3 linked regions of the Caenorhabditis elegans genome follow. The protein of the gene in region 3 interacts with the protein of the main gene of each other region in a pairwise test. Each region holds a gene or a part of one and is shown on either strand. Other genes may lie near its edges.

Region 1 (11,950 bases), on a different chromosome or scaffold from region 3:
CACAAAAGTGAGCTCAATACCTTTCGTGTAGTTGTGACTCGGACCAGAACTTATGATGTAAACATTTTTAAGTAAGCCTGCTGTGTTTTTTCAATATGTCAAACTTTTGCCAATATTTTCAATTTTACGTGTTTTTTACTTAAACTTACAGCTTTTCGTTAGTTCGCCGTGTTGACTTTTATTGGGAATACTTACTCCACTACAGACCCGCAGTAGTAGAATACTTGTAATTACAAATTTGAGCATTTTACTGAAAAATCGTCTTTATTTAGAAGATATTTCTTAATGTAATAATTAAATAAAACTAAATAAAATTGTTATCAGGTTTTTTTTGTTTGAAAAAGTTAGTTTATCCAATTGAGGCTCTTAAATTAGTTGTCACTGATAATGCGATTATACTCTTCCATTGGCAAGTTGTTCTCATCTAGAATTCGAATAGAGCAGAGGTTGATGTGTTGTGAAAATTCAGTTTAAAATGTTTACATTTCAGGAACTTCTGGAAAAGACAGTGGGAAACAGAAATAAAAATGGTTAAGCGTTCCACTTTGCTTCCAGCTGTTGTTTTTACAGTCGAGAACTTGCAGGTTTTTTGTTACTTACAAGTTTTTTTATTAATCAAACAATTTTTCATGTGATTTATTCAAGTGAGTTATGTTTTAACAGTTGTATTACACTGGCAACGTTCTATAAAGCTTTATAAATTTTTTAAACCACCAATGAAACTTTGTTTTCACTTTAAAAAATGTTTATTTATGCTATTTATAGGATTATTGCAAAGTTTCCGCAAAAGTATAAATAAAACTGCTTTAAAAAGATTTTGAGGCAATTGTTAAGACGTTTTAGGCTGAACAAAAATTCTGAAATATTTAAAAAAAAAAATTTATTAAATTGTTTTGCCTATTTTTAGACTTTATTAAAAGCATTACAAAATTGCAAACTTCCTCATTTGTAATAGTTGCAAACGTTACAAAAGCAGTGAAAACGTGCTCGGAGAATATCAAATCGACTTCTTTATATTCCATTGTTATTTTTTGATGAAAACCCGCTTTAAGTTCTTATAAATTCAATTTGAAAGTCTGAAAGTGAGTTAAATTACTTTCCTAGTGAGTATAACTGGACTGCATGTTGAAGTGGACGACCTCTTCCAAGGCAAACCTACAACGTGTACGTCCTTGCAAGATTTGACTGACAATCCAAGTTTATGGAAAACTTCTTTTCTTTTCAGTTCTGCAATATTTCGAAAATTCGAATAAATTATCCAGCTTTGAAATAATAATTGTTTTTTTTAGTCGAAACTTAGATTGCACCTGACAAGTTGTTAGCGGAAGGAAGTAACTTCAGTGCCAGATTTTAGAACGAGTTTTCACCAACCAAGTTTTTTGTCGCTCTAGATAGTGTTCTGAATATTTTTTTACAAAAAATTTGAAAAGGAAAACTCAACTCGTACCCCTGACATTTTTCTCAGACATTTTTTTTGGTGCACGCGTGAAATGGCTCAAAACTTTATTGTTAAAATAGGGAGCTTTTTTCTCCAAAAATAGCTTTTTAAAAGTTATAATTTCTTGAAAAGTCTGAAAATTTTCTCCTACAATCATGTCTGTTTTTATTTTTGTGTGCCAATTTTTTAAATAAAAAATTGACCATTTTTTGTAAAATTTTTTTTCTGAAAAAAAAAACTTTATTTCTCAAAACATTCAAATAAAAAGAAATAAACGTGGTTGTATGTCAAAATTCTGAATAAAAGTTTTTGGCATATAAAGGGCTGAAGCACAACTGAAAAGCAGAGAAAAGTTTAAATTTGACAAAAAAAATTGAGAAAACGGTGGGCAAGATTGATATTGGAAGTGGTAGACATAAAATTAAGATGAATAATATTGGAAAGTAGTGTGACGGTAAGAAGGGAAACATTGAAAAACCATTAAAACTATGTGATCTGTGGAACATTGAAAGAGACAAAGAAAGCGATGGGAAATTGTTGATTGAAAGAAAGAAGGAAATTAAAGCCGGCTTAATTTCCCATCAAGGTTAAACAAGACAAGAAGCGACTAGAAGTTTTGCAGAACGAAAGATGCGTCGAGATATACAGCTAGCGATTAGGTGTAGCTTACAGACAAAAATCACAGCTGGAATGAAAAATGAAGTAGTGATTTTGCTCTTCGTTGAAGAGAAATTGTGGGGCACTGAAGATCAGGAATTCAAGGGGTACACCAGTATGACGGTTAAAGAAGGAACTATTGATGTGAAAAACTTAATGTTCTTTCGAAATTAAAGATAATAAGATTTTGAAAAAAGTTGGAAATTTTAATTTTATACGAAAACCTTCTGCTCAAGCTTTTCCTGCATTCCATTCAACAATCGCTTGCATTTTGCACGTCGATTTTTGAACCAGATCTGCAATTCGAATTCGATAACTAGTAATCAGTATTAATATAGAATATTACCTTCACATTGTGCTGACTAATATGCGGATAATTCTCTCGATAAGCGCAGTTGTTCAAGCATTGTGTGTACTGATCGATTTGCATCCATGTCGGGTGAGGATTCTCTTCGAACCATTTTTCGAGGACGGGTAGCTCGGTGAGTGGGTCGAACATCAGGCGTGAGCGAGCCGCTGAAAACACTAAAACGGAGATTATTTGCTTTATCGTTGAATTTTTTCAAACGTTCCGCGTCAGTGATTTTATCGAAAAATAGAAGTAAAATTCCACCTTAAAGTTTTCTTGTCGAAAAGATAGAGAATTTTTATGCAGTCATTTTTCATATGCATAGCAAACGCAATCTAAGAGCGTTTTAGAGATAGCAACCAATATAGGTTTTCAGACTGAGTATCATGAACATGGCCACCTTCTCGATAAGTTTGAGCCAGTACAAAATCCCTAGAATATTTCTCAAAATCAAGTTTGCAGTTGATTTTCTGTTTTATTTCTGTAAACACAATACCTAGCCTCATTTTTTTTTCCTCAGATCTCAGTGATCGTAATGGTTGTCTGTGCGAAATTCGACGCCCCACATTTCTCCCTTTGTTATGTGTCTTCGCGCACTTTGTGTATGTCTATGTGTGTTTGTGTGTGTGTGCTCGCTTCTAATTTATGAGTTCTTGGTTCAACCCATCTCCCTCTCTTTTCCGTTAGCCTGTCTGTTTTAAAGCTCTTTGTTGTACCTGATGAGTTGGCGTTTTGCATGGAGTTGGTGGATGATGAGTGGGTGCTGAATGCTCCGAGGTCGAGCCCGCTGAGAAGCTTTGGGGAGGTCGAGGACAATGATTCGCGCATTGAGTTTGCCATATCCGGGGAGGATGCAATTGAATCCTGTAGGAAATGTTGCTTGTTTTGGGATGAATAATTTTTAAAGGTGGACCATAATTGTGTCGAAAAATATTTTTAATTGGCGCTCAGCCGACGCTGACAGTTTGGAATAAATTCAGATTTTCGGCCGTAGTGTTAGGTCTTTATAACCTTATCGGTAATATTTAGCAATTTGGGAGATGTTATCTTTAATGTGAATCAGAATCGAAATAGCCGAAAATCCGTTTTTAGCGTGATTTTTCAAAGCTTTTCAGCACGAGCAACGCTAATCAACCTAACTATGGCACAAACAGTCAAACGTAACTTACAATTTCCGGTTCTGGTTTAATATTGATGGAAAACAAAGTATCTTGAATAGTTTCATCTGAATTGCTATGAATCTCATCATCGGCTGGAGATGGCGAGTCGGAGCCGCCGACAATCTTGGTTTCATCCAGTTTGTCGTAAAAATCAAATTTTTGACGTTGTTCTCCAAACAGGGACTGGAGCAAGTTGAGTTGGAATCCCGGGAGCAGCTGCGCCGCTGTCTGAGCTGACGAGACCTGCACTAGGTCTACTGGAGCTAAGGTACGGGAACTCGAGCGTTTTTGTGTGAACCAATTGCAAATCTGGAAATTCATTTGATTAATGGAGTAATATGTAGGCGCATTAAATTCACCTGTTGATAGCTGATCTTGGAATTGTTCTTTCTGAACGGACTCTGATTGAGCTGGCTTAAGTAATTGTTCATTTTTTGTTTAGATGGATTTGCATCGGATTTGAACCATTTATCAAGACGTGGAATTTCGTAAAGAGTGTTGAATCTTTGTACTTGTGTTGGGCTGAAATTAAATACATACATTATTATGTGTACTGAAAGTAATATGAAAGCAGGCGTTTATCTTTCTTGAGAGTGGAATGAAAAGAAAATCATGTAGCGTATTTCTTCTATTTGTATTGCACCCGACTACCTAACTTTGAAACGTTATATCTTAATTCATTTTAAAGAGTATAAATACACTTTAAAGATATACATATATTTTTAACTACGAATCTATAGAAAAATAACTGAAAAAATATTTTGTTAGTTAACAACTTCGAATAGCACAAACGATAACTGAGATATAAACAGTTAAAGTTGAACAATGTGGTACAATACAAATAGAGGAAATACGGTGTAATTACTCGTATACAAGTTTTTTGTAAGGATAGTTTTTAATCATTTTTTACTGACACTTTTTCTCCAATCACGACTCCATTCTGATAGTTATACTGGGTCCCCTTCTTCTTGTTTTTGCGCCCCCCCCCCCCCCCCGGGTAACAGTTTGGATATATCACTGTATGCACACAACGCATTCAATCTCCCTTTTTCTATTCTTTATTACTCTTTACAGAATGCGTCACCGCCGTCCTTTCCCATTTTGCCCTTTATTCTGCTGTTCCCATTCCCTCAGAGCAATATGTACATGTTTTGTATCCTCTCTTGTGTCTGTATGTCACAATAAGATTACTCACAACACAACTCAATTATTTGTACAGTTGGAAATTCGAAAATTTGGATGTGCTTCGATGACTGGAAAACTTGATTTCAGCTTTTTCTTTTTCCTTTTTTCTTCTCGTTGGAAGAAGGAGTTTCAATAAAGGAATATGTGGAAAACAACTGTCTCCATCACTTATAATTTGACTTCTTCCCTTTGTTGTCTCGGGAATGTAGATCAGCAGGCAGTGGCAGTTTCAGAGATGTTTTCACGGGTCAACAAGGGGCCAAAACCAGTCCTGATCTCTTAGCCTCCTTCTCTTGAGAAATTGAGAAAGACACAATGGCATGATGGAGGGCACTTAGAGAACGACCGAATTTGATCGTTTTGTCTTTTGTCTCGTTTTTTTTTTGAAATTAGCTATCTTCATCTCAGTCTAATACTGCTCTCTTATCCGGGCATCAACCGTACTGTCAACCGGCTTAGTGGAATTTATAGTTGAGTTACGAAATAAAACTTGAGTTTTGGTAATTGTTAAATTCTGACAAGCCACATATTTGGTGAATCGTCTCCTAAAAATTTTAGATTTTCAAAAATTTTTGAACTCAACCATTTTAAGTTGGCAAATAATAGAAGGCGTACGGTGTTTTATTATTTTAGCACTAAGAACAAGGAAAATTTTTGGTACTTGTGGATTATTTCACCTCATTTTGAAAAAATAAATTTTAACATTTTAAAATAAAACCGTGTGTAGTTTTTTATTTTTAGGCTTAGAAAAAAAAAAAAAAAAAAAAAAAAAAAAAAAAACGTTTTCTGCTACGCAAATGGGTAATAAAGTAAAAAAAATCAATTTTATATAACGATTTTACAGTTTCAAACAATTTTTTATAGATTAAACTTGTCTTCAAAGCAATTCTTAGATACTTCGGTATAAACTAGTGTTTCTAACTTCATTCACGTATATCTTCATCACTTTGCCTTCCCCTTCCCATTGAACCCATCCCCTACTCTTTTCCAATCCCAAACAATCATCGTTTTCGCACATTGTGTGTGGGGGCTGTCACTAATAAGATGAATGGTGATGATGGGCACCAAAGAAAGAGCAAATGATACAATCTGCCGGCTTGTTAATCCCCGACGCCTATCCATTCTGATTGTTACGACACTTGAAAACAAAAGGCGGGTTTTTGATGAAGACAACCTCAGGAAATTGAAATTCTGACGGGGGGGGGGGGGGAGCTCCAATGAATCCTTGCGGTGGAAATTAAACGAAACTAACTATTTAAGTTAAGTCCTCTCTTTTCAGATGTGAATAAGAATGCACAGACGTGGAAAAGTATATTGTTTATATGATATCCGATAGGAATCGGTTTTACCTGATATCTAGAGACAGCAAAATTCCATCTCCTAAATTTCCCCAAAAATTTATAAACAAAATGGGTGCTCTCTCATAACTTTTCCTTCAACCACAATGTATACACAATCCTGCCTGCAGCTCAAAATTCCTAACCAATCCATAAAGTCTATTTCTACAAACAAGCCGAGAGGGGGCTTAACTCGAGCACCGAATAGCGGCTTAACTTGGCGCTACCCCCCGTGTCACTGCTCTCTGTCTTTTCTCTCAAACTCTGCCCCCCCCCCCCCTCTATTCACATCCAACACGCACAGCGGGATTACGGTGGCTGGTTGGCTGACTGGCTCGCAACTCATTGCATGGGCGGCGCTATCTTACCTTCTACGATCCTCGTTCGTTTCCAGCGTATCAAGCCATTCGTTGACTGCACCAATTTGTTCGGAATTCAAGAGTGTTTCATCTCCGGCAATGATTGTGTTGATGACATCCTGCAATTATCAGAATTGAAATTGAATTATTGAGAAAATAGCAGCTACCCACCTTAACCTGCTGATTATCCACATTTGTTAAAACATTGGGATTTTTGTTTACTGCAGCTTTCAGGAGTTTATTCTTCACCTCACTTATACATTGCACAGAATTTGAATCCGTAGATCTGAAAGAAAATCATGATGATGGTCATAAAATTGTGTGTGTGTATAGGCATATGTGTGCCCAGGGATAGGGCTATAAAAATCGAATTCGGTCCGTGAATGGTTTGTGCTTTCATTGGTCTCATAAAAATTGCGTCGCAGGACAAAGCGCTAAAGCTTTTGCGGTATTTGTGAGTGCCATGTTTGATAGCAAACTAAATGCCAAATATCAATAGAATATGAACGATATAAAGAAATGAAGGAAGCGACAATAATCCGCAAACAGATAGGATAAGTCATACGGGGATCTAGGTAAATAATTTTGTTGGTCCCCGGACCCTCCCGCTCCTTTGACTTTTGATGACTAGAAATGCGCCCCAAAATGTATCTTTTTTCAGCCACCGCCAATTTCAATGAGTTTTCCCCCTTTTTTCCTTCCATCACTTTTTCTCTCCTGTACACATGTCTGAATGTGTTTATATATATGTGTGTGTGTGCGAGGCGCGCATTGTACATACCTATGTTTGCCATTTTCTTTGAGTAGTTCTAAAGAGGATGTATAGGGGTTGTGAGGCGCGATTTTGCTCACCTTTACAGAATGAGCCCCCCGGAGCACACAAACCTCCCGATCGACAGTCGTCTGGTTGGAGCGGGATTGGATGGGATAGATGAGGTTATAGTGCGGAGTGAAACAAGAATACTTCAGGAAACACTTACGGTTTTGACAATATTTTTAGCACTACATGTGATGATATATCTTTGAAGAGGTTTTCCACAGTGTCATCTAAATTTTCAGTAATTTGATCGAATGGCAAGGGTTTCCAGTTGTTTACTTGTATGAGGCCTGAAATTTCTGAATTATCGATTTTCGGACAACAAATGCAAAATATTTTTTTAAAAAACCCTATGCAATTCCCTTCGTTTTCTTTCCGATTTCCCTTTCACATGATTGCATAATCTTTGGGAAAGTAGATACCAAGGAGGCAAAGCCGCCGAGAAAAGAACAGGTTCGACAGTCTGTTTCACTTTCTACTAAGGTGGAAGAAAACGTGAAAGTGAGAAAATGGGAGGAGGGCGCTGAAATCGCAGAAATACCGTTGATCTGGCAAGAGGCGCAGAACAAAACACATGAGTGGGTAGGGTCGTCTTAGCCAAAAAAAAGTGGGTGATCTCGGGGTAGGAGGAAGATGTATATCTTCTTACAGCATAGCGAAGTTGCGCAACCACGTTATGCTTCAATGAGATTGAATTGAAACTGAAAGTAGTTGTCAAGAAAAGGAGATCCCACTCAATACTCAATTACTTACTCGCCTAGAGTAGGGTAAATCTGTCAATCACAAGATAGATCTGTTATCCGTTTTTGGCGAATGAAAAAAAGGAACAAAAATGAAAGAAAAGAAGATAAGGAATGTGTACTACTAATACCAAAATAGTTTAGCTAGTCACGAGGTCTATGGCAATTTTCAAAATGTTTTCTCAACTAACCTCGAGCACTTGTCGACATGCTCGAATGTCCAAGAGCTGCTAGTACAGTTTCGACGAGTTGATTTAATGTAGTGGTCCCTGCGACAATTGCATAAGTGTCTGTGATCATGTGTCCTTCGTTTGAGCATGTCAAGCAATGTTGAGAGCGAACTGTTTCCACGATTACCCTCATTGGGAACATATCTAGCTGAATGAAACTTTATATTTGAAATTTTTAAAATAAAAATGAGAAATCGAGATAAACTAATAGCAGAAGAATCGAAAGAAGAGCCAGAAGATAGTTGGATAGATTTAGCTCTGCGCTCCGATTGGTGTGCGGACTTCCCGCCCACTTTTCATAGATATGGAGGAGGCGGGGCTTTCTATGATGCGGGGAAGATAGATAGAAAAAGAGCGAGTAAGAGAGAGAGAGAGAGCAAGAGCAAAAGAGATATGGTAGTTGTGGCTAGTTGGAGCAAATAAGGTGGAAAAGAAAGCGCGCACCTATTCAACCGTAATTGCGATGGAATAGAGCGGAGAGCAACAAAAATGGAAGAAAGGGAGATAGTGGGATTTGTTAAGGCGATTAATGAAAAAAGAACGGGAGACACCAAGTTTGGATAACAGATTTGCAGTCTGTCCAAGAGGGGGTTAGAAATCTTAAGACACAAATAAAAACAACGAATCAGGCGACATGTACTCATTCTTCTTACTTCTTACTCGCTACTGAAGACAAGTTGAAGATGAGAATGGATGGAAACGAAAACGAAAACAAGATTTGATATGGAAAATCTGAAAGAAGGCGACCACGTCGTCGCCAAGAAGAGATTGAAGACGACGAATGGAGCGAAAGTAGTAAGGAGGGGTTGAGGGGGGGGGAGGTCGGGATCGAGATGGCATAATGTAGGAACCGGATGGAAGAGTCTAAAAGAGGCAGAGAATGCGGAAGATGAGGAGAAATAGGTAGGTGAGGTAGAAAACAGTGGAAAAAAGAAAGATGGGGCTGGTTGCCAACCCTCCCCCATCTGTAGAAACGATCATGTACTACTAGTTCGAGAAAAGCCTCGGGTCGTTGTGGTATGGCATCGTCTTAGTCTTCGTCGTTGAGGGAGGAAAAAAGAAGAATCGAACAAAGACAATCCACTTGTTCAAGATTTTCTCTCTCTCTTCACTCTTCTACCCTATAACCCCGCCTTTCTCTTTTCCTCACCGTCAAATCGAAAATAACGACGCTACACATCGCATAAGGGGCGCATCAGAATTAGAATTGTCCCGATGTGTCAGCAGAGATAAAGGTTAAGTTACTTATAGAAATTTTAAGGATGCGCGTTTCGGGAGAGGAGGGGGTCTGCCAGTTATAGATAAGACAGTGGTTGGAATGCAAGTCACTATTTACTTAGGAGCTCCGAGTGGGTTTGGGATTATTGTCGATAAGATAATGTGTACACTTTTGATACTTCGCCACACCAAAACTCAAATCCGTTTCTAGAAATTTATCTAACAAGGTTTATTGTTAAAATTACTATGAGTCAAAAATCAACAATTGGTATAAAACGTGGTTTTGGAAATATCTAATTTTTCAGAATTTTTGCAAAACTCTGTGAGACTCATTGATTAATCATTGTATTCTACACTTGTATTATCTTGCTCCATCTCCACATAATCAGTTCTAACAAACGAATGTTTGTGCCCCTAAGCCTAGAGGATTTAGTTTAGGTGTCATCGTAGCGGCTAATTGAAACAATTGCAATCTGGAGCAATACTGAAGCAAGGAGAGGGGGTTCGAATAAGCCGGAAAGAGTAATCCCGGTTGCTTGAAGACACCAACCCCGCGGATGGGATTATACAAGAAGCATGAAGTAGAAGTATAGGGTAAATGAGACCCTTCTTACAAATTTGAAAGTCGAGAAGTTCTAGACTTCAAGGGGCAATGCAAAAAATCTCAGTTTTACATATATTACGTATCGTACGGTAACGCAAAAGAGAAGATTAAAGAGGAGGGGGGGGGGGGGGAAGTCAATTGAAATTCAGCGGCCTTATCATACGATATACATTATATGTTTACCAACTCAATGGACCGGACCGAATGGAGAAAGAGATGGTAGGGAATGGAATAATGTGATGGGTTATGGTGGGTGCTTGCCCCTTGTTATATGATATTCAGTATTTTTGAAAGAGGAATTATAAATATTCTGATTTCAGTATGATTCTTCAAATTTGTTTTATTATATGATTCTTACATACAAAAACTGTAGGACATTCAAAAATTGAGTAAGAAAATCCTAAAGGTGGAGTGGTTGTCCCAAAATGACGGAATATCATAATAAAACTTTCAAAAATTTTTTTTGAATTTTTTCTATTTACAATCAAAAAGTGGCAATTACTCTGTTTTTGCCACTCATAATTTTGGAAGTCGACCAAACAAAAACATTTTTTCTACGTTTTTTTACTGTTATTTTGTTTTAATTGTTTGTGTTAAAACATCGTAGGGGTGGATCCATGCGACATTGCTTTGGACTTTTTTCAAAAGCTCAAATTATTCAAAAATGTTGGCAATTTGCCAAAACTTTGACCGGAAATTATTAAAAATATAAAATTTTTTGGAGTGTTTTATTATGATATTCGGTTGTTTTAGATTATTATAAGTGTATTCAGACAAAATCCCCACGTAAATTTGATACAAATTTATATGTAGCTTTCAAATTTACAATCTACTCTCAGAACACACGTGTGGCTGCGGCAAAACTGCTGACGTATGTAAAAAAAAAGATGACAAACAGTGATGTTGATTTAGAAATTGAATGTTTTTGGGTTTAAACTTCTTTAAATCCAGACTGTATGGAAAATAGATTTCAAAATTCTATCGTTGGTTTCGAAATGACCCAGTTCTAGTCATCATTCAAGAGCCAGCAAGGTTAGAGATAAGGAAGAAAAGTGTGGGCCAATGTGATCTTCAGCTCACCGAGCACAGCACACATGTCCACACGAGATAACACGTCGAATAAGGCGCGTTGTGTGAAACAGAAATAAAACCAGCCGGGCGGAGGAAAGCGCACTGTACAATGTCAGTCGACCATCGGTTATCAACATGAGCCTGATAATCCGTACCACCACATCTACATATACAAGAGTTGGGAAGAGAGAGAGAGAGAGGGGGAAGGGTAGGAGAAAAGGCATACTGAAAAGGGTATGAGGCAGAGCGGATGGTGAATAATATACACTGTTATGGACAGATATGAAAGCAGGAATGGGGGAGAACAAAAAAACCATTAAATCGCTGGAAAAAACGGAAAAACAAAACAATGGATTTTAGGAGAAAAGTAGCTGAAAAATGTTAATTGTAAAATTTTAATTTTAATATAGGCCCAATTTTGACTGGAAAAGCTGTCAACTAAAAAAATTGTTTCATTTGAAAGTATTAAATTTCAAAATCAACTAAGCCAGCTGTTACTCTGTTACTTTAAAAATCTCTGAAGCTTGTAAGTCAATGACCAGTGGCCCAGAAATTATTGGAACCGGCCTGTGTTCCATCTTACCTAGCATACTCTGCGTCTCCACCATTTTCTGGAGCATCTTTTGGTGATAAGAAAGCCGTTTCGAAAGAAAATGTCCCAGCTTGGATGACTCTTTGACTGTACCGAAAAAGTTGAAAAGTTTATACGAAGGAAGAAGATGAGAGAATCAAATATTGGTTCTGGATGGAGGGGGCGGTGGTGATGGAGGCCTCTTTTGTCTAAT
Region 2 (11,901 bases), on a different chromosome or scaffold from region 3:
ATTGTATTATTTCTAAAGAAAACAAGAATTTCAGAACTTACAGCCAATGGAGCATGAAGATGAATTTCAATCCAACAAGGTGTTGAAGTGACATCTTGTCGTTGATATTCAGCTCCCCAACCTTTGACAAATGACATACGAATAAATGTCATTTTTTGTAGATCAAATGAGGCGTCGAATCCACGGCGACTGCAGTCCTCGAGAAGCTGAAAAATTTAGTTTTTCTTATTAGGTCTCCAAATAAGTTCCGGGTCAAAAATCATAACTTTGTTCACTGCGTATCGATTTTTATGAAACTGTGGGAATTTATGTTATCAACCATGATCTTTCATTTGACAATAGTCACAAAATTTTTTGGCCGTCCGAAGTGCCCTAACTCGGAGCCAATGTTTTCAGGCATTTTTCAGATCTCGCTTCTTTTACGCTTTGATTTGAGGTTTGTGTGCGGATTTAGCTTTGTTTAGTACACAATGTAAGAAAACAAGAAAAGTTTAGAAAAAAATCCGTCCAAAAAAAAATTTTTTTGTCGGTCGTCAAAAAATGCTCAAAAAAGTTTTTGTCGAAAATTCTTGATTTTTTATACAAATATGATGTAACCATGTGCAAACTATTTATTTTGCACATGGTTACATCATTTTTGTATGAAAAATCAAGAATTTTGGACAAAAATTTTTTTGAACATTTTTTGACGACCGACAAAAAAAATTTTTTTTTTAACGGATTTTTTCCAAACTTTTCTTGTTTTCTTACATTGTGTACTAAACAAAGCTAAATCCGCACACGAACCTCAAATCAAAACGTAAAAGAAGCGAGATCTGAAAAATGCCTGAAAAATTTGGCTCCGAGTTAGGGCACTTCGGACGGCAAAAAAATTTTGTGACTATTGTCAAATGAAAGATCATGGTTGATAACATAAATTCCCACAGTTTCATAAAAATCGATACGCAGTGAACAAAGTTATGATTTTTGACCCGGAACTTATTTGGAGACCTAATAGTTTCAGTTACTATTTTTTGCCCAAGAACATGGCTTCGCCAGTTTTAATGTGTGTACCTTTAAAAAGTACAGTAACCCAGTTTTTTTCAAAAAGTATAAGAATAGGCTACCGTACTGCTTAAAGGTACACATATTGCTGTGAGACTGCAATTTTAAGTTATTTTGTGCGTGACGAGACCTTTTCTTGACTCAAACATTGCAATTACGTGAATTAGCTTACCTGTCTAAAAATCTCCATATCGAAAATCTTCAGTGAACACTTATTTGCAATTTTAACAACAGTTGTTGAGTGAAATCCATTGATATAATTACAATTACTAGATTGTACGAATATAGCTGAATCACTTTCACATTGAGCAAAGAGTGAGCCATTGCTACGTACGTAGGTTAGCTTGACACCTGGAATTACAAAAAGTTTGAAAATTTTCAATTTTTTAGTCATAGTCTTGCAAAAATTATGCGCCGAAGTACGGTACCCAATCTCCCGAAAATCAGGTTACTGTACTTCTTGAAGGCGCACGCGTGTTTTGCTCGGCCTTGATTTGAAAGTAATTCGTTCGTGGCGAGGCCGTGGGTGCTCTTACCGTTTCCAATATGTCTTCTTGTATTTTCAATAGTTGCATTTCGATTTACATTCGAAAACAGTCCCAGGCTAATTTTGCTTCCATTGATGCATGGATCAGTGAATCCATCGATAGTTATAGTTGTTGAAGACACTTTAACCTGTTCTCCGACTCTTGTATTCAATTCATAATAGCTAACAGTTGCCCAGAATTGTTCTTCCCAAACTTTATCGAATGGCACGAGACATGTTGGAACTCCTGGTGGAATGTCGAATTTCTGAGAAGTATCCATTTCCTCAATTCCATTTGGATTGTATTGATGAAATTGGTTGGCTCTAGAAAATTATTTATTAAATCCCTAATTAGAAAATATATTGATAATATTTCAACCTTTTTTTCTTTTCGTAACCTTTTCCCTCTCAAAGTTATTTTGGATCCAATTTTATTTACAACTTGCGACGATACTCCGGAATTCCACCGCATGCTGTTTATCGTAAATATTGCCTACTTTTCTTATCACTGAAATTTTACATCATTTTACCAATTTTTCTTCATTCTCTTTGAATTCTCAATTTTTCTAACTTAATCTTAACTTATATCATTTATCTATTTATTATTTTGTAGATATAATGGTCGAAACGACTGGAATCAGCGACCAAACGAAAAAAGTGCTGATCGGTGTGGCAGCTGCAGCGACAGTTGCAGGTGTAGGATACTTGGTATATAAGAGTTTTGGAGGTTCAGACGTGAGTTTCTAGTGTACAATGATATCAATTTCAAAACTAATTTCAGCTGGAAAGGGACTTGGAGGAAATAAAAGCATTGGGAAATTTGAAGTTTAAAGAGAAACAATACGATTCCGCACTAGAAGCATTCACAAAAGGAGTCGAAAAGGCCGGACCAAACTCTTCTGATCAAATTGTCGCAATGCTCTACCAAAATCGTGCAGCCTGTCGTGAAAAGGTTGGACACAGCCCTTTTGATATCCTCAACGACTGTATGGCTGCATTGAAAGTAGACAAAAAATACACCAAAGCATACTTGAGAGCAGCAAAAGCACTTAATGACGTCGGAAAGAAACAGGATGCTCTGGCGTGTGAGTTTCTGAAGATGTTACGAGAAAAGTATCAATTCCTGTTTTTAGATCTTCTTGCCGCGTTCACTTTGGATTCTAGCCTGAATAAGACGAATTTCGAATTCTTTGGAAAGCTTCTTGCTATAGAACCCGTAAGAGCCTAACAATTTCTTAAAGAAACTCAACTTTTTATTCTAGATGTCCGACTGTCACATTGGAAAACCACTCAAAATCGAAGATGTTAAGCCACAGCCAGTAGCTTTGTTCAGAATTCAGCAGTGGTGTGATACTTGGGATATTCTTGATCTTTTCAAAACAGATCTCACCAGATTCGAACCAGAAGTGCTCAGTGAAGACCAGAAGTAAGCTCTAATTCTAGATATACAGTAAAAATAATTATAAATTTCAGACAATACCAACTTGCACTGGAAAAGTTCAAAAAAGGAAAATACGAAGAACTGATTGATCTGCTTACTGAGGAAAACAGCTATCCTCCGGCAATGATCTTGCGTGGAAAAATGCTAAGCTACAGTACTGATCCTAACGAGGCAACGAGATATATCGATAAAGTTGGAGCAAAAATTAACGAACTGATTGGATCAGAAGAGGATGAGGAACGCAAAAAACTAATGAGAGATGCTTTCGATATTCTCAAGATTGAGCTAATGTATACTATGGCAGATTTGGATAAGTTAGTTTTTTTTCTTGATTTTCCAAAATATTTCCAGGTCTTGTCTAATTTTTTCTAATTTTCAGATTCCTGGAATCAGTTCCAAAAGACGATAAGGAAAGACTTTTCAAACTTTATTCGTTTGCATCTATTTTTGTGGTAATTCGATTAAATCATTTTTATTCTCTAAAAATATGGTTTCAGTATAATGGATGTGTTCTCGATACAGCAGTGACGAATCATGAGCAACAAATGATGGCGGATACAGTAAATTTAAATTCATAATTTTCTTATTTATAATTATTTAATTTTCCAGAACAATGCCAATAGACTTCTCACAGAAGCTGAAAAGAACGGAACTCTCACTCCACATCTTTCCATGATTGTTACATTCCTGAAGTTGTGTACCAGCGAAGACTACGCTGATGTTCATCGACGAATCCGAGAAATGGAAGAACTCGCAGAGAGTAGATCTACTCATTTCAATCTGGTTCTTATGTCCAAAGTATATATGATGACTAATAATGAGGAGAGCTCGAAGAAGTTGCTCGAAGAGGCTGCAAGGATTACTACGAGATATTTGGTGCCAAGTAGGCATTTGCAGACTGCGTAAGTTTAGATTTTAATTTTCTGAAATTCGCCGACTGGTACCAGTTGCCGAGATTTTATGAAAAAAAAAATAAAACAAAAAATCGAAAATTAAAAATTTTTTTTGACTTTTCGATTTTTTTCAAAAAAAAAAAAAAAAGAATCGAAGAATATACTCATAAAATTCGATTTTTGAAATAAATTTTGTTTCTGTTGTTGAAAAAAGAAGAAGTATAATTTTCTTTTAAAAGGAAGGAAAATGGCAAAAATTTAAGCTATCGGAAAGTTGAAAAATCAAAAAGTGCGAATTTTTTGTTCAATCACGTCATTAGGGACCAGCCTGCGAATTTTAAATTGAAATTCCCATCGGCTTCTAAGTTCTACGTTAAATACAATTAATTTTCCAGTGATCTCCACGTGCACAAACCAGAAGCTGAACGACTCAGATTGACAACTGAAAGTGCCAACGCAGCAATTGCAGTTGATCCATTCAATTTCTCGGCTCACGTTCTTCATCTTTTGGGAACTAACGGGCCAGAGCCGATGATCAAGAAGTAAGTAAAAAAGTTTCAGAGTTCCACTAAAAAATCCAAGTCCTTTCAGAGAAAATTACGAGCGAGCAATGGAATCAATTCGAAATGCAGCTCTATTTGCCCCACCACGAGAACTTCTCATGTTGAAGAGAATGATTCCATTGATGAATGCTAAGAAACGTGCAGCTGAAATGCTCGATATGTATTAATTTAAAGAATTTTTGAATAGTTGATAGGCTGCTTTGTTACCTGTTTTTCCCCTCATTTCCCCGTTTTTTTTTTAAGTTTTCGGGTTTCTCAAAATCAACCCATCCGTTTTCCAGTTCCGTTCCTTACCTACTGTGTTCGTTTTCTTATTTTATTCTTCGCTTTTTTGTTTTTTTGTTCCCGATAATCTCATAAATACCAGATATTTCAATTTTTCTTCAATCAGTAATACCATATATTTTTTAAACACTTACGTAAAATTAACGTTTGCCATATTGACATTCTGCGGCATTCTTGATCCGCTCATCTCCATCAACTGAAATTTCGCCAGAGTTGGGGGCACTTCTTGTGGTGGTTTCTCGGAATAACGAGGTACAAGAACTGGTGGAAGTACTCCAGTTGCATGAACTCTTTTGTAATGATATGGATTAATGCAAATATCCTTTTGCCCTGATTCGTAGCAGAATCGGCAATCTTCAATTGCTTTCAATTCATGATGTGATTGAAGATCTGGCCAACGATAGACACGGCAATATATCACATGAGGAAGTGCCTGAATTTTTAGTACATAGGATTTGGAATTGTTCCTAACATTTTTTCTCAGAGTGGATTATTTGAATTTTCTGTGAAAAATGATAATCTCCAGCTGTTCAAACAAGCATTTCACGAAGAAGCTTCATTTCAAAAAAAATTGAAAATCGAACAAAAGATCAGCTAACGTTTATAAATTTTTTAAACTTTTAAATTTCATAAATTTAATATGATTTTTCATAATCTAGGTTAAGTTTTGGCTGGTGTAATTTTTGTGAAAATATCAAAAAATTAGCAGAAAAATCTATGTTTTTTCTAATATCGTTAGGATGTACTGTAGAAATTATGCAAATTTATAAATTAAAAATGCAAATGGGACTGACACGTGGACTTTTGCCCATAAAATCAAAAAAGATCAAATCAATTTTTGAAATTGTTCAAACGACTAGTTGACACAATTTTACAATTTAAAAATTTAATATCATTTTTCAAAATCTAGTCGGTCGATTAATCGAATAAGTAAGTCTGTCTCTGTTTCTAGTTGATGTTCATAAACAAATAGGGCACCCCTTCATTTTGAATTTGTTTACTTCTTCTCCCCATTATTCTCTTATTCTATACTAAAATCACCTTTCGATGCGAAATTTGAAGTCGTCCATCTAGTGACCGCGGAATTGTCACGCATTCGGTTTTTTGTTGTCCTTGGCACTGAAATGATATAGTTATTGATTTGAGGTTATTCTACGATTGAAATATCGGATATATGTAGTTTTTATTGATTTTTAACGAGTTTAAAGTATGTGTAGTCTATTGCTAGATTATTTCATTTCTATTCATAAAAAAGAAATCTTAAGATCAAATTGAAAGATTCAAAAGACACAAAACACATGAACCCTCAACGCGAATTCCAAATTTTCCAACGCCTGCTTGTTATGCTTTATCAGCTTCTTCATCAAGTTGTCGATCGCCTTTTTTGCCCAATTCTCATCCTCGTCTCCTGTAAAATACTTATTTCCGTCAGAAATCCGATTTCAGTTTCGATTCTAGATTTCCGCCGTTGATTGTAATATTTCCCCACCCTATTGGTCTTTTGGACAAAAATGAGACTTACCTTGTTTCCATTTCAGTCTCTCCGTGATCTTTTTTATTCCGTCGAAGTTTATCTGAAAGGTTCGTGGTTTTTTGTTGTGAAATAAAAAATGGTTATACAATTTTATCTATTTTCGAAAAATAAGAATTCTTGGGAATTGGGTTCTGATACGAATGAAATTTTTCAGCTACCGTACTCTCTATTACTATTTGTCTCTCTTGTCTCGATTTTTTCAAGAATTTTATTGTAGAAATCACATATTTTGGAAAAATGTTTAAACTACGTCAAATATTAAAATATGTAAAACGGAAGGTTCAAACTTTGAAAGCTGAGAATTTCAAAGTCTATGGTGTTCACGGGGTACTGTAGCTGAAAAATTACACACGTTCCAGGACTCAAGGCCCTGGTTTTGAGGAAGTAATAATAATTTTTACAAACTGGTAGTGGTTAGACAATATCGAGAAGATATTTCAGTTTCTTATTTCACAACAATATTTTGGGAAATTTTTAAACAAATTCTTTATAGGAAAACATAAAAAATGTAGCTACATTTTTTGAAATTTTTAAAAATGATTTTCGTATTTTTTTCAAAATTTTAAAGACTCATTGAGTTCAACAATTTGAATTCTATTTTTTTTTTTCTTTAAAAAATTTGAATTACAAAATTTCGAATTTTTTTTGAATGTTTATTCTTAAATACAAATAAAAACTTACCATGATTCTAATCTTCTTGAAATATTGTAAAAACTAATAGATCACAAGAAGATTCTATAAATAAGAAACATTGAAAATAGCCTGTAAATGCGCACTCCTTTACCTTTTTTTCTTTCTACCTCTGTAGCCTCTCTAAAGTGCCTGGTATCTCATAAATTGTTCTCAGCTTCACCAGCCCATCATCAACCGTCTAACTGTCTACTCATTGTTTTCAACTCTCCGTCTCTCCAAATTGTGCAATCATCTTCACAGATGTGTTTCCACCCGGCGACAGTCAACTTGTGTCCCTGCGCCCCCGTTATCGTCATTAGTAGCCAACTAGACATCATAGTATAGTAGAGAGACTCAGAATATATAAAATGAGACAGTGTTTGAAATAGGAAGACTTAGAGACGCAGAAGGGCGACAGTCTGGAGCCAAGCAGGGAATTAATGGAATTCATTTATTCATGTTTGAAAGGAAAACGGTATTGGGGAATATTCATCACTTTTGTTTGAGAAGGGACCAGGTGTCATCGGATAAAATAGTCTATGGTTGTTGTGAAGGTAGGCTTTGCAAAAACCGGTCTCACTAGATCAAGGAACACCAGAAAACACACTTTTTTGAAATTGTGTTGCTTTTGTGCTTAAATTAAGAGAAAAATTCTTGCAGCAGAAAATATTTCACGCCCTAAAATTTTGATTTTCATGGTTTACAAATTACCGAATTTTATCAGAAAGCATAATTTTCTGAAAAGAAAAGATTCCGAGAATCTCAAAAGATATAGAAATTTCTAGTCTGCTCTATGCACTCATTCAATATTTACATTTTCTATATAATTTCAATTTTAACGAATTTTCATAAGTAGATTCTTTGACAGAAGGTCAAGTAGTGTCTTGTCCTTGAAATTTCCTTCTTTGTTAATTCATGTTGCTAAGGAACATAAGCGTTGCTTGGAAGCATCGGAAAATGTTATATTTTTTTGTTCTCAATGCATTTTCAAATATTTCATTTCTAGAGAATATCTATCTATTTTTCAGTCTTTTAAAAAGTATCAAAAAATGATTTCATGGGTTTTATCATCGCGTTTGTGAATAATGATACTTCCTCTCAATTTTATGCATGAACGTGGCGTTTTTACAATAAAAAAGAGAAGAATGATCTAGACAAACATACACCCTTTTTATCAGACATCATACCCCAATAGCACATTTTCTTATCTTTTTTTTTCTGAAAGCATTTTTCAATATTTACTGATTATTTTTTATGAAATATACAACTTTCAGGAATGAAATTCCAAAATGTACATATATCACATCAAGATGAGGACAAGGAGAAGCTACTGCCAAACGATAAGGATGTGGAGAAAGCGGATGGTAGGAAGTTTCTAATATTATACAGTTTTCAAAAAGTTTTGGTATTTCTTCAAAAAAAAAACTTTCCGTAAAAATTGAAAAAAAAAATCGAAAAACAAATTATCGGAAAATTTACTCTCGACATTTTTTAAGTTTTCGTATGTTATTTTAAAAATTTATATAATTCCTTCTCAAAACTCTGTATCAAAATGCCAAGTATTTCAGAATCCCCGTCATCATCTCGTCCAAGTTTTGTCTTCAAATGCTATGTTATTGCCAGTATGACATTCATTTGGACAGCTTACACATTAACAATCAAATACACAAGGAGTACTGTAAATCCAGATATGGTAATATATTTTGAAATATAGTTTTGGAAGACTTTGATTATTGAATTTTCAGAAATTTTTTTTTTTCAAAATTCAAAATTCAAAAAGTTTGACAATAAAATACAATTGATAATTCATAGCGAAATATAAAAAATCATGTTTAACTTTTCTGAAAAAAATCCAAAGTGTGAAAACGGTTTTAAGAAAAATTTTTTTTTTTTTGATCCCAAAGCACCAAAAAAACACACAGAATTGATACAAATATTTCAATTTTTCGAAAGTATGCATTTTTATTTCAGATGTATTCTTCAACATCAGTAGTCTTATGTGCCGAAATTTTGAAATTAGTGATCACATTTGCAATGTTCTACAAAGAATGTAACTTTGATAGCAGACAATTTTCCGAGGTAGATCTACCGTATTCTTTGAAATCTTAAAATTATAATTTACAGCAAGTCAGTAAATATTACATAAATGCTCCACGAGAACTTGCCAAAATGAGTGTCCCATCGTTTGCGTATGCTCTTCAGAATAATTTGGATTTTGTGGGATTGTCGAATTTGGATGCGGGACTTTATCAGGTAAATTGTCATAGAAATATTAAAAAATATATAATCAAAAAACCTTTTTTCCTATGAAAATAACAAAAAGAATCAATTTTTCATTAAAACCAAACAAAAAAAATTTTCAAAAAATAACCAAAAAATTAAAAGTTTTTCCAGGAAAAAAATCGAGTTTTTCAAAATAATATGTTTTTTCTTTTTCAAAAAAATCCATTAAAAACCATTAAAAAATCAATTTTTCCCAAAAAAAAAACCCAACTCTTTTTTTCAGAAAAAAACGATGCAGAAATGTTTTGTTTTAATTTTTCACAAAAAACCCTTTAAAAGCCAAAAAAAAAATTCTTTTTTTTTTCTCCAAAACAAAACAAAAATTATTATTTTCAAAAATCCAAAAAAACCCTACTTTTTCAAGAAAAAAATTGCAGGTCACAACTCAATTGAAAGTCGTCTCTACAGCTTTTTTCATGATGCTCTTTCTCGGTCGAAAGTTCTCAACTCGTCGATGGATGGCAATTACACTTCTAATGTTTGGAGTAGCATTTGTTCAAATGAACAATGTTTCTGCATCAGAAGCCAATACAAAACGAGAAACTGCTGAAAATTATATTGTCGGATTATCAGCTGTACTGGCAACGTGTGTAACTGCTGGATTTGCTGGAGTCTATTTTGAGAAGATGTTGAAAGATGGTGGAAGTACACCATTTTGGATTCGTAATATGCAAATGTACAGTTGTGGAGTGGTAAGTTACTGAAATTTCAAAATTTCCTAGTTTATTTACTTACCATCCAATTGAATAAATCAAACTTCTGAAAGTTAAAAAAAAATCAGAAACTATTTAGGGTTTTTTTTTCAAATCGTTTGAAAAATAGAGATTCGAAATAATTGAATATTACTAAAAACCAATTTAGACTTATTAATAAAATCTAAGCTCAATTAATCTCAGAAAGTCGAATTTCGAAAATTTCCAATTTTTTCCAGATCAGTGCTTCAATCGCTTGTCTCACGGATTTTTCGCGGATCTCCGATAAGGGATTTTTCTTCGGTTACACGGACAAAGTATGGGCAGTTGTGATTCTTCTTGGCGTTGGAGGCCTCTACATTTCTCTTGTGATGCGATATCTTGATAATCTGTACAAATCAATGGCTTCAGCAGTCTCTATCATTCTAGTTGTTGTTCTTTCGATGCTCATATTTCCAGATATTTTCATTGGAATGTATTTTGTACTTGGAACCATTTGTGTTGTTCTTGCTGTTCTTTTGTATAACTCTGTTAACGAGTAGGATTCACAATTTGCTTCTTTTTTTCAGTTTTAGAAAAACCATCATTTTTTGATTACACATTCTTCCGGGTTACTTGATTTTTCTGTGTATTAGCCAAAAGCTTTAATTGTATAAACTTAATGCTTGGATTTCTTTGTATTTTTGGGGTTTTATTCTATTGCATTTTTTGTGTTTTTTTGGATCGTGGTTTTATGTTATAAACTTCCTCGATTCTCGATGGCAAATAAAAAGCATTCATATTTTTTCCTAATTTGTTCCAATCCACAGAATTCCTGACCAATTGTGCGAACGCTCTGGAGCAGAAGCAAGGGCTCCTCCTCTTTCCTTCTTCCTGCTCTAAAACTATAAGCCATTAGTGCTCAGGTGGCTCATAAATTCTCGCCAAATAACAGAATTCCAATGGCTCCCTGGAGATATCTCGCAATTTGCTCAGTCAGTAGTTTGGCAAGTGTGTGTTTGACAGGAAGGATGCATGTGGTCGATGTTTAATTAGATGGGAATTCAGAAAAAGAGACGACAGAAACGGATTGGCGGCGAATGGAACTGAAAAGATAGAAAGATGAACGAAACTTTCTCTTTTCTTTTTCAAGCCATCCCAATGTCCGAGCATTTTTTTATATATTTTATGATCAATTTCGACCATCCATTGATTATCCGAATTTTCTAAAACTCTTTCTTGAGTGTGCACGGATTTATATGAATGGGTCTCACCGCGAGTTTATGGTAGCGTTTTTTTCTCTTAAATAACATATCAAGTTCTGAAAAACAGAGACTTCGAATTACAGCCAATTGCAATTTTTATGGTACATGTCTTTTGGAGAAATTGTCTGAAGTACCTACCTTTCTAAAAATTATTATTCTTTTCTCAGAAATGATGCCCGGATTCTTTTAGTTAACTGTATTTCAATCGTTTTTTTATTGAGAGTTGGAAATTTTTCGAGAATATTTATTTGGTCTTTAGGTTTTTTTAAATACTATTTTCGAATGTTCAAACCTTTCTGCCAAGCTGGATTATTTTAAATAAATTTCTCAAACACTCAAGCCCTTCACAACTTAATTTTATAGATTTTCCCAGAAGACACAAAATTTTACAAAACTTTCCCATCATTTCAAAAAACTCAAAAAACACTAGAAACCCATTGTCAATAGTTATACACCCTCATAATGTGTTCGTTTTTTTTTTCTTTGAGAATCCTTCTTCTCATCTATCTTCGTTACCTAATCCCACTGAAGGTTCCCATTTGTTTTGGACCTTTTGTGTAGGATTCATTTTAACATCTGAAATTCAGTTTTCGTATAGATATTGAATATCACAAAGCTTCTGAAATTTTAAATATTCAACAGCAAACCGACTTTTGTACAAAAAAATTGCTGTCCCTCAAATATCTCAAAACATTTTTCCATTCAAGTAGTTTATCAGATTCCG
Region 3 (7,456 bases):
TATTTTTGTAAAAATAGTAAGTTCACTGGACTATCGAAAGACAAATGTGAGATTCACTTTCAATTTATTAAATCTGCAGTCAATAGTTTTACGTTTATTAGTTCATAACTTGCTTCAACCTATTCCTACTTCCTTCCGTTTCCACAATATTTCCAAAATTTTTCATGATTCAGCTCAACTGAAGCCCGTTTGATCTTCATCTTCATTCTTCATGGTATATGTCCGTCCTCCCGCTTCTTCATCTTTTTCTCATTTCTTCTCTTCAAATCGCCCCAACTGCCACGTCATCACCTTCCCAATTTCCGTGTCCGACAAGATGTCAATGCTATGCGGATAACGAGCAGAACCAACAAGTACATCTCATTTGCAAGTGGGAACAGGTAATTGAATGGACATGTATGTGTAGGGGGCAATAGCAAAAGTGACTAGCCATCGCAATTATCAATTAGTCACTGCATCAATGCATGTTTGGTATAACAGTACATTACAGAGAACATGGACATGTTATTTTAAAGAACAGCAAGGGAAGTAATTTAATTTAGTTTCGATAAGAATTTTTACACTGGACTTAAAAAGCAATGTTTGAGTAGTTTTGTTATGAAATTCAGTCTTTTGGGTTCATTTTAAATTTATTAAGACAATTCAAGTCGTTTACTCCTCCGTTTAACTACATAACGTTTTCAGCTGAATGTGACTACTCTCCAACTTGCACGTCCTGATCTCGTCCGAACTCTTACTATAAAATGCCCTTATCATTCTCCAAAAGTATCAACTCCACCTCATTCATTATTTCAAGGGTTTCGAAATCTAGATCGTCTCGAATTAGATAGATGCTTAATTGATACTGTTCCAGAAGGACTTTTTGCGGTTAGAATTTTCAGAGAAAACATTTGTAATTGTATTGATGTTCAGGGTCTTGGTCAACTCTATTCCCTTATCGTTAAAAATGCAAAAATTACCGATTTTCCTCGAGAGATATTCGCCCATGTTCCCAACTTGATGACATTGGATCTTTCTGGGAATCGATTGAGAATTGAACCATATTCATTAAGATCATTACAGTAATTATTCTTAAAAATGAAGTTAAAAATGAATATTCAAATTTTCAGAAACTTGATTCACTTGGATGTAAGTGACAATGATATTGGATTTCTGACAAATACGTTGATATCCCTGACAAAGTTAAAAGTTATCACAATGAACAACAATAAGATAACGAATATCGATTTCAGAAGGTTTTAAAAACATTTATTTGTTTTAAAAAATAAATTTTCAGATTTCCTGAAAACCTGACCGACTTATCAATTCGGCATAACCTCGTCTCCACAATTCACTATGTTCCAGCAAGTGCTAGAAATCTGAAACGCCTTGATTTGGCTGGAAATCGAATGGAATTTGTTGGTGGTTTGACGACTGGAGCTGTGAATGTATTGCCTGCAGAGTTGAAACACGTGGATTTGTCGAATAACAAGTTGACGTATTTACATGATCATGCATTTGAGCACTTGACAAATTTGATTTTGCTGGATTTAAAGTTGGTTTTGTATTGAAAAAGTATTTTCCGAACATTATTCTTGCAGAAACAACAGCCTAAAGGAAGTGAAGTCATCAAGTTTTGCTGGTTCCAAATTTCAAGTCAAATTGTTTTTATCCGAGAATCCACTACTATGTCACTGTAATCATAAATGGTTAATGGATTCTTCTGCTAAAGTTTGTTTTTGAAGTTTTTACACAATTTCTAATTTTTTGGTATTACGTTTGATATTTTTTAGAACATATCAATTGGAGACCTTCAGACAATTGAATGTCTCAATATATTGAAACCAGAAAAGAAAATGCTGCTCACGTTAGCTCATTCAAGGAATCAACTGCTCTGCAAATATTCTAATGTAAGTTATTTTATAAATGTTTCATTTTAATTGAAAAAACAATTGGTGGCGTACTACCAATATAATTCGATTTAAAAGAGACTAAGATGTATAGTTTAATAAAACCGTGCTGAGAAAAAGCCTGATATCAAACAACAGTAATTATATACCCAACAGACTTTAATTATGCTATCAAACATTTTCTTCAAAAAATTAATCGAGAAAATTGAACTGATAATTAAAAAAGGTTTCAAGGTAGGCTAAAAAAAATTTCAAATACATAGTAACTTTGAAACAGTAATTTTTTTCAGATGTGTGAAGCAGATTGTGAATGTTGTCAGAAAAAAGAATGTGAATGTCGTTTCGAATGCCCGCCGACGTGCAAATGCTTGAGATCTGCGGATGTCTCTATTGTGAGGGTATGATTTTTGGAAACTGGGAAATTAGATATTTCATCAATTCTAGCTTTTTGAAAAACTCATTTTGTGTATTTTCGAACTAAAAAAACAATATTGGAATGCTAAACTCTTTATGAAAAATGGGAGAGACGAAATAAAATCTAGCGTCTGGATCCGTCCTCGAAGAAGACTCCTCCATCGATAGCACAGTATTTTGGACAGATTCCCTTCTCTCCTGGAGTTCCATCGGATCCTGGAAGTCCTGGTTGTCCTGGAGCTCCATCTTGTCCTGGCTCTCCTGGTCCTCCACGTGGTCCTGGTTGTCCTGGGGATCCTGGAGCTCCATCCTTGCCCTTGATTCCAGCAACTCCACGTGGTCCACGTGGTCCAGCACGTCCTGGCTGTCCTGGTTGTCCTGGCTTTGGCTCGTCGGAGTGTCCTGGTGGTCCTGGTGGTCCTTGGGATCCTGGCTTTCCTGGGTGTCCGTTTGGTCCGTGTGGTCCTGGTTGTCCTGGTTGTCCTGGTCCTCCATTTGGTCCATCGTGCCCTGGTGGTCCTGGTGGTCCCTCGGATCCTGGCTTTCCTGGTGCTCCTGGAGCTCCTGGTGGCCCTGGTGGGCAAGCTGGGCATGGTGGTGGGGTTAATGGTTCACATGGTGACTGTGGTGGCTTTCCTGGGTGTCCTGGGGCTCCTGGTGCACCTGGGCGTCCTGGAGTTCCTGGGCGTCCGGCAGCTCCGACTGATCCAGCGGCTCCTGGCAAGCAGCATCCGTCGCAGCTATTGTGCTCCTGGGCTGGGGCGTCTTGAACGGCAACATCGTATCCAGCTTGACGCGCGGTACGGTTCCCTCTCCCGGGAAGAGCTGGCATAGCGACAGCGGTAGCATATACCGTGTTAACGGTGTCACGGCAGTGACGGAGCTCAGAGTGCATTTGAGAGCGGAGGTTGCTCACATAAGAATAAACGAGTGGAAGAGTAATGCAAACGGAAAGAATTCCGACAGCTGAGAGGGAGACTGCGGCATACCCGATGAGACGGTAGGCCTGAAAAATTGTATAATTTTCGAAAAATAAGAGTCATGAATGGTTTTTAAAATTAAATTCTAAAGCCTCTTAGAACTTTAAACTAAACCAAACAATTTGTGAATACCTTGATTTTGTTGTCCTCCATTTTTGAGATGATCAAGATTGGATGATGCCTTTCCATGTTAAACCCATTCCTTTTATACTGACAATTTTCTCTTGATCACTGTTTCCTTTTTTCATTTTTTTTTTCATTTTGTGTTACCAAATCTATGTCTCCACATTTCCCATTATCACTCATCCTATCACTATGGATCTATCTTTGTTGTCAGGTACGCCCGCGCGGTTTCGCTAACTTTACACTTTCCAATTGGTTTTTTCTTGGATGATAAGGCACAATAGAAGAGAAACGGAACTAATTTGAAACTTTTTTGGTTAACCCGGAACATTATTTCAGACATCTCAAAACATTATGGTTTGCGACAAACTTCGATGGGATAAGCTCGGAAAATTTCCATCCCCATTGACACAATTACATATGAATCAGACTGATTGGAAGATTTTTGAGGTTTTTTTTTCTTTGGAAGAATTCATTAGACATCAAGACTTTTAGACCGAGAAATTGAAAGAACTGAGCAACTTGCGAGCTTTGAAGATCACAAATAGCAAAATGACTTCAGTGGAAATGGTGAGTTATTTTTTGAATCCGGAGGTTAATTTTGAAAATTGAGGGAAACTTAACTAACTGGTTTTGTGTTCCTAAGGTTTTTCAAATATAGAACTATGTATTTTTCAATTATTTTATGCAATTGGATGTATTTATGTAAACAATTTTTTACTGTTTCGACATGCCTACTTATGCAGTATGATATTTGAAATTTTAATCCTGCTGTCATTGTGTTGTCCGAAAATTTCACCTAATTTAGAGCATCATCTAATTTAGTTAAATTCTAATCAATTTCCATATTTCGCAAATAATGTCCACAAAAAAATTATTTCAGGAAAAGCTCACTGATCTTGCCAATTTGACCCATCTCGAAATAACATCTTCTGCCATCACCTCAATTCCAGAAACCATTACAAAATTACCATCTTTAACTCATCTCTACTTATCTGATAACCCATTGGATCAACTTTCATCAACATCCTTAAATCATTTGGATGGTTTAAAAAAGGTTAGTCACTTCAAAAGGAAAGGACATTTGACCAGAAACCAGTTTATCTATGTTCCATCATGATAAGACAAAACAGTCATTTTTTGGTGGAATCATTGGGTTACAAAACGAAACTTTCCATTTCAGTTTGGTTGATAATAATAAAAGAGAAATTCAGATTCGATTGGGTGGGAATTTCAGCAGATTTGCCTGTGATTGTGAGTCACCATCGGATTTTCAGAGATGGTTGATGAGAAGAATTAATCGAGCAAAAGTAAGAACATAGTCACATAGTTTCAGAGCAAAAAAGTTTAAAAATTAATTTCTGTTTCATAAGTTTTACAAATATAGTAGTAAATTTTGAAATTTATTCCTGATCGCCAAATTGTTATGCACTCAAATGTGTAATGTTGAATTTTGTTTCTCCTAATGTTAAATTTAAAAATATTGAAGCTTTGTCAATAATACATTCATGGTGAGGGACATTTTTATTACTTTTTCGAAAAAGTTAAAAGTGAACGTGCCATGCTCAAGTTTTGAGCTGATCGTCATTATTTCGAATTATTGAAGGCAATTGGTTTTTGCCAGTAATAAACTAAAATTATTATACATTAGTTTTTATCTTAATTGTTTTCTTACTGAGAATGGGATTACTAAAAGCAAACTTTTCATTTGAAGATTTATGTACCATTTTAATTTACTTTCTGAAAAAAAACTGAGAAAAGTTTTTACTGTTTCAAAAATGCCACAAATCAAATTTTTTCAATTATTTTATGTTAATCAATATTTATTGTTCAAAATCTGATTTCGAGTGGTTTTAAAATAAATTTTTCAGATAGATGATATTGATGATTTATATTGTGATTTAAATGGTCATGGAACAGTTTGGATGTTGGAAGCTCTTCCAGGAACAAATGAAAGTGTATGCCTGGATCCAACTGAAGAAACTAAACAATGGATGACATTTGTGGAAAATGCACAAAAAGGAATAATGGAAAGAGTTTATACTTCAACTGAATCAACAACTAAATCTGAGAAAACAATGATGACAACTACATTGAAAAAGAGTATTTTGGATACGATGGATGAACTAGAAGGTGTCAAATCTACCGAAAAAATTAGTAATAAGTGAGTTGATTGGTTTGAAAATTCAGCGAAGCCAAAAAAAGTTTCTAAAAACTGAAAAAATTTTCAGAGTAATCTCAACGACAACCGTTCCCACAACAACTCCTCGATATCGCAAGAAATACAAGAATTATGACAATGAACCTCATAAATTTGTCAATGTTCTCATTTTCTTGCTCTTCTTATGTGTGATTATCTTGATAATTTCAATAGGAGTCACCGTATATTTGAAGTAAGTTTTCAAAATAAAATCTATTTGAATGATAGAATCAATAAAAGATTTCAGATTTTGGCATCCTGAAGAGCTTTTAATGAAGCGTCGGAAAAAAGAAAGACTTCGACCGGAAATTCAAAGAGAAGAAGAACCATTGCAGCATTTAGATTGAAGAAGAATAATAGAAGTTTTAGAATTGAAACGGGTATAGATTTTATTTTTTGGTATTTGTTTTTTCGAGCAGATAAATACATTTTATTCTTCAAAGTAAACATACAAAAAGTAGTTCTTGAAAAAAGAATGAGTTAAATGAAATAGTTGTATTGTGAAACATGGTTAGGCAGTTCTCAATTGCGTCGAAAAGTGTCATAAAAAATTGCCCGGCTTGTTTTGACCAAATAGCCAATGTTATTATTTATCATTCATCATTTTATCAATCGTTTTATCATTTTATCAATCGGCTTCCAAATGTTGGGTACATTTCAATGAACAGCATTATTGCAATTCTCTGAAATTACTGTTTTAACCTACTGTGAATGATTTGAAACAATTTCCTCATGAGTAAACTTCGTTTTTACAATTAGTTTCAAAGTTATTTTAATTCAGATTTTATAATTTTTGAAACAGCGAAAAATGTTTATACCCGGAAAAGAAACAAAAATGTTGTTGAAAACAGTGAAATTATGCAAGCGATTGTTGTTGACTTCTTGGAACATTATGATTCTCTTTTGTTTCAGGTAATATTGTCGTTAGAATTGTACAAATAAATGAGCAAAGCGCATAAAACAAGTAGTGGAGTCCGGGGAAGAATATGTCCTGAAAACGATAAAGATGTCATTCTAAAATTTGAAGAAATATCTTGATTACCATTGCAGGGACATGAGGAGCAACAACTGCTCCAAGATTTGAAATTGTCGCACAAGTACCAAGGCATATACTTCTGAAAGTTCATCTAATTTGCTGAAGTTTTGTGATAACATTTCAAAGATAGTTTGAAACAGTATTTTGATTTTTAATAACATTTTATTTTTGTTGAAAAAGTACCTGCAATTTGTTGGGAAAAGTTCAGCTCCGTAAACGAAACACAGCATAAATGCAGATGCAGCTGCAAACTTGGCAATGAGCCAAATTATCAAGAATATTTCTGGATCAGCCTCATGATCAAACAGGTACATGGAGAGTAGCGAAAAGGCAAGAATCAAATGAGAAACCATTACGGATGGTTTTCTTCCTAACCAGTCAATTGCGGCGGGAATCAAAAAATAAGAAGGAATTTCGACGAGACCAGAAAAAATATACGAGAGATGCATGTTATTAGAGCCAACTCCTGTTGCTGAGAGTGAAAGAGCACTGTAGATCATTAAATCAATTATCCTGAAAATTAATATTTCAAAATGGTAAAAATTTTGTCAAAAAATTTCCATAAAAATGTTTCAACAGCCGTGTTAGTGACCATGAGTTTTGATTGGAGAACAAGTTTTAATGTCTGAAGAAGTGATTCATTATCTTCTTCTCTACTTGACATATCCACAATCTGATCAGCATCATAATCAATTTCTTCATTTCCAACTCTTGATGCCATTTCTATCCATTTCACCAAATCATCTCGTTTTCTTTTTGCCACCAGAAATGAGAAACTTTCGGGTAGAGTACTGCAAGTTTTCAAATAAAGTGC

Evidence for each region.
Region 1: the proteins of col-122 (region 3) and dve-1 interact in a two-hybrid assay, tested with the Caenorhabditis elegans proteins (one large-scale study listed by BioGRID).
Region 2: the proteins of col-122 (region 3) and sma-2 interact in a two-hybrid assay, tested with the Caenorhabditis elegans proteins (one large-scale study listed by BioGRID).

The regions. Positions count from the first base shown.
Region 1 is NC_003284.9:425,380-437,329, forward strand, and holds dve-1 (Homeobox protein dve-1), read right to left. Parts: upstream 8,421-11,950; 5' UTR 8,415-8,420; coding exon 8,234-8,414; intron 8,122-8,233; exon of another isoform or gene 7,593-8,121; coding exon 7,466-7,592; exon of another isoform or gene 6,772-7,465; coding exon 6,657-6,771; intron 6,605-6,656; coding exon 6,495-6,604; intron 4,127-6,494; coding exon 3,964-4,126; intron 3,914-3,963; coding exon 3,614-3,913; intron 3,309-3,613; coding exon 3,161-3,308; intron 2,621-3,160; coding exon 2,442-2,620; intron 2,392-2,441; coding exon 2,308-2,391; 3' UTR 1,671-2,307; downstream 1-1,670. Other genes in the region: hrg-11.4 (VWFA domain-containing protein), read right to left, coding at 150-246.
Region 2 is NC_003281.10:8,745,033-8,756,933, reverse strand, and holds the start of sma-2 (Dwarfin sma-2), read right to left. Parts: upstream 7,255-11,901; 5' UTR 7,071-7,254; intron 7,022-7,070; 5' UTR 6,971-7,021; coding exon 6,968-6,970; intron 6,327-6,967; coding exon 6,275-6,326; intron 6,161-6,274; coding exon 6,057-6,160; intron 5,872-6,056; coding exon 5,794-5,871; intron 5,186-5,793; coding exon 4,887-5,185; intron 4,840-4,886; exon of another isoform or gene 4,635-4,839; coding exon of another isoform or gene 4,496-4,634; intron 4,447-4,495; coding exon of another isoform or gene 4,300-4,446; intron 3,914-4,299; coding exon of another isoform or gene 3,621-3,913; intron 3,572-3,620; coding exon of another isoform or gene 3,509-3,571; intron 3,464-3,508; coding exon of another isoform or gene 3,391-3,463; intron 3,326-3,390; coding exon of another isoform or gene 3,044-3,325; intron 2,997-3,043; coding exon of another isoform or gene 2,833-2,996; intron 2,787-2,832; coding exon of another isoform or gene 2,704-2,786; intron 2,656-2,703; coding exon of another isoform or gene 2,352-2,655; intron 2,306-2,351; coding exon of another isoform or gene 2,189-2,305; exon of another isoform or gene 2,184-2,188; intron 2,043-2,183; coding exon of another isoform or gene 1,969-2,042; intron 1,895-1,968; coding exon 1,581-1,894; intron 1,531-1,580; and 6 more. Other genes in the region: Mitochondrial import receptor subunit tomm-70, read left to right, coding at 2,189-2,305, 2,352-2,655, 2,704-2,786, 2,833-2,996, 3,044-3,325, 3,391-3,463, 3,509-3,571, 3,621-3,913 and 2 more; ugtp-1 (UDP-galactose translocator 1), read left to right, coding at 8,235-8,322, 8,527-8,651, 8,930-9,037, 9,083-9,211, 9,619-9,933, 10,173-10,475. UniProt on the Caenorhabditis elegans protein: Involved in TGF-beta pathway. Plays a role in male tail tip morphogenesis.
Region 3 is NC_003282.8:9,559,368-9,566,823, reverse strand, and holds col-122 (Nematode cuticle collagen N-terminal domain-containing protein), read right to left. Parts: upstream 3,446-7,456; 5' UTR 3,437-3,445; coding exon 3,416-3,436; intron 3,310-3,415; coding exon 2,428-3,309; 3' UTR 2,383-2,427; downstream 1-2,382. Other genes in the region: lron-14 (eLRR (extracellular Leucine-Rich Repeat) ONly), read left to right, coding at 219-380, 685-867, 913-1,061, 1,110-1,235, 1,277-1,534, 1,581-1,710, 1,773-1,889, 2,180-2,287 and 7 more; T05A1.5 (Major facilitator superfamily (MFS) profile domain-containing protein), read right to left, coding at 7,163-7,433.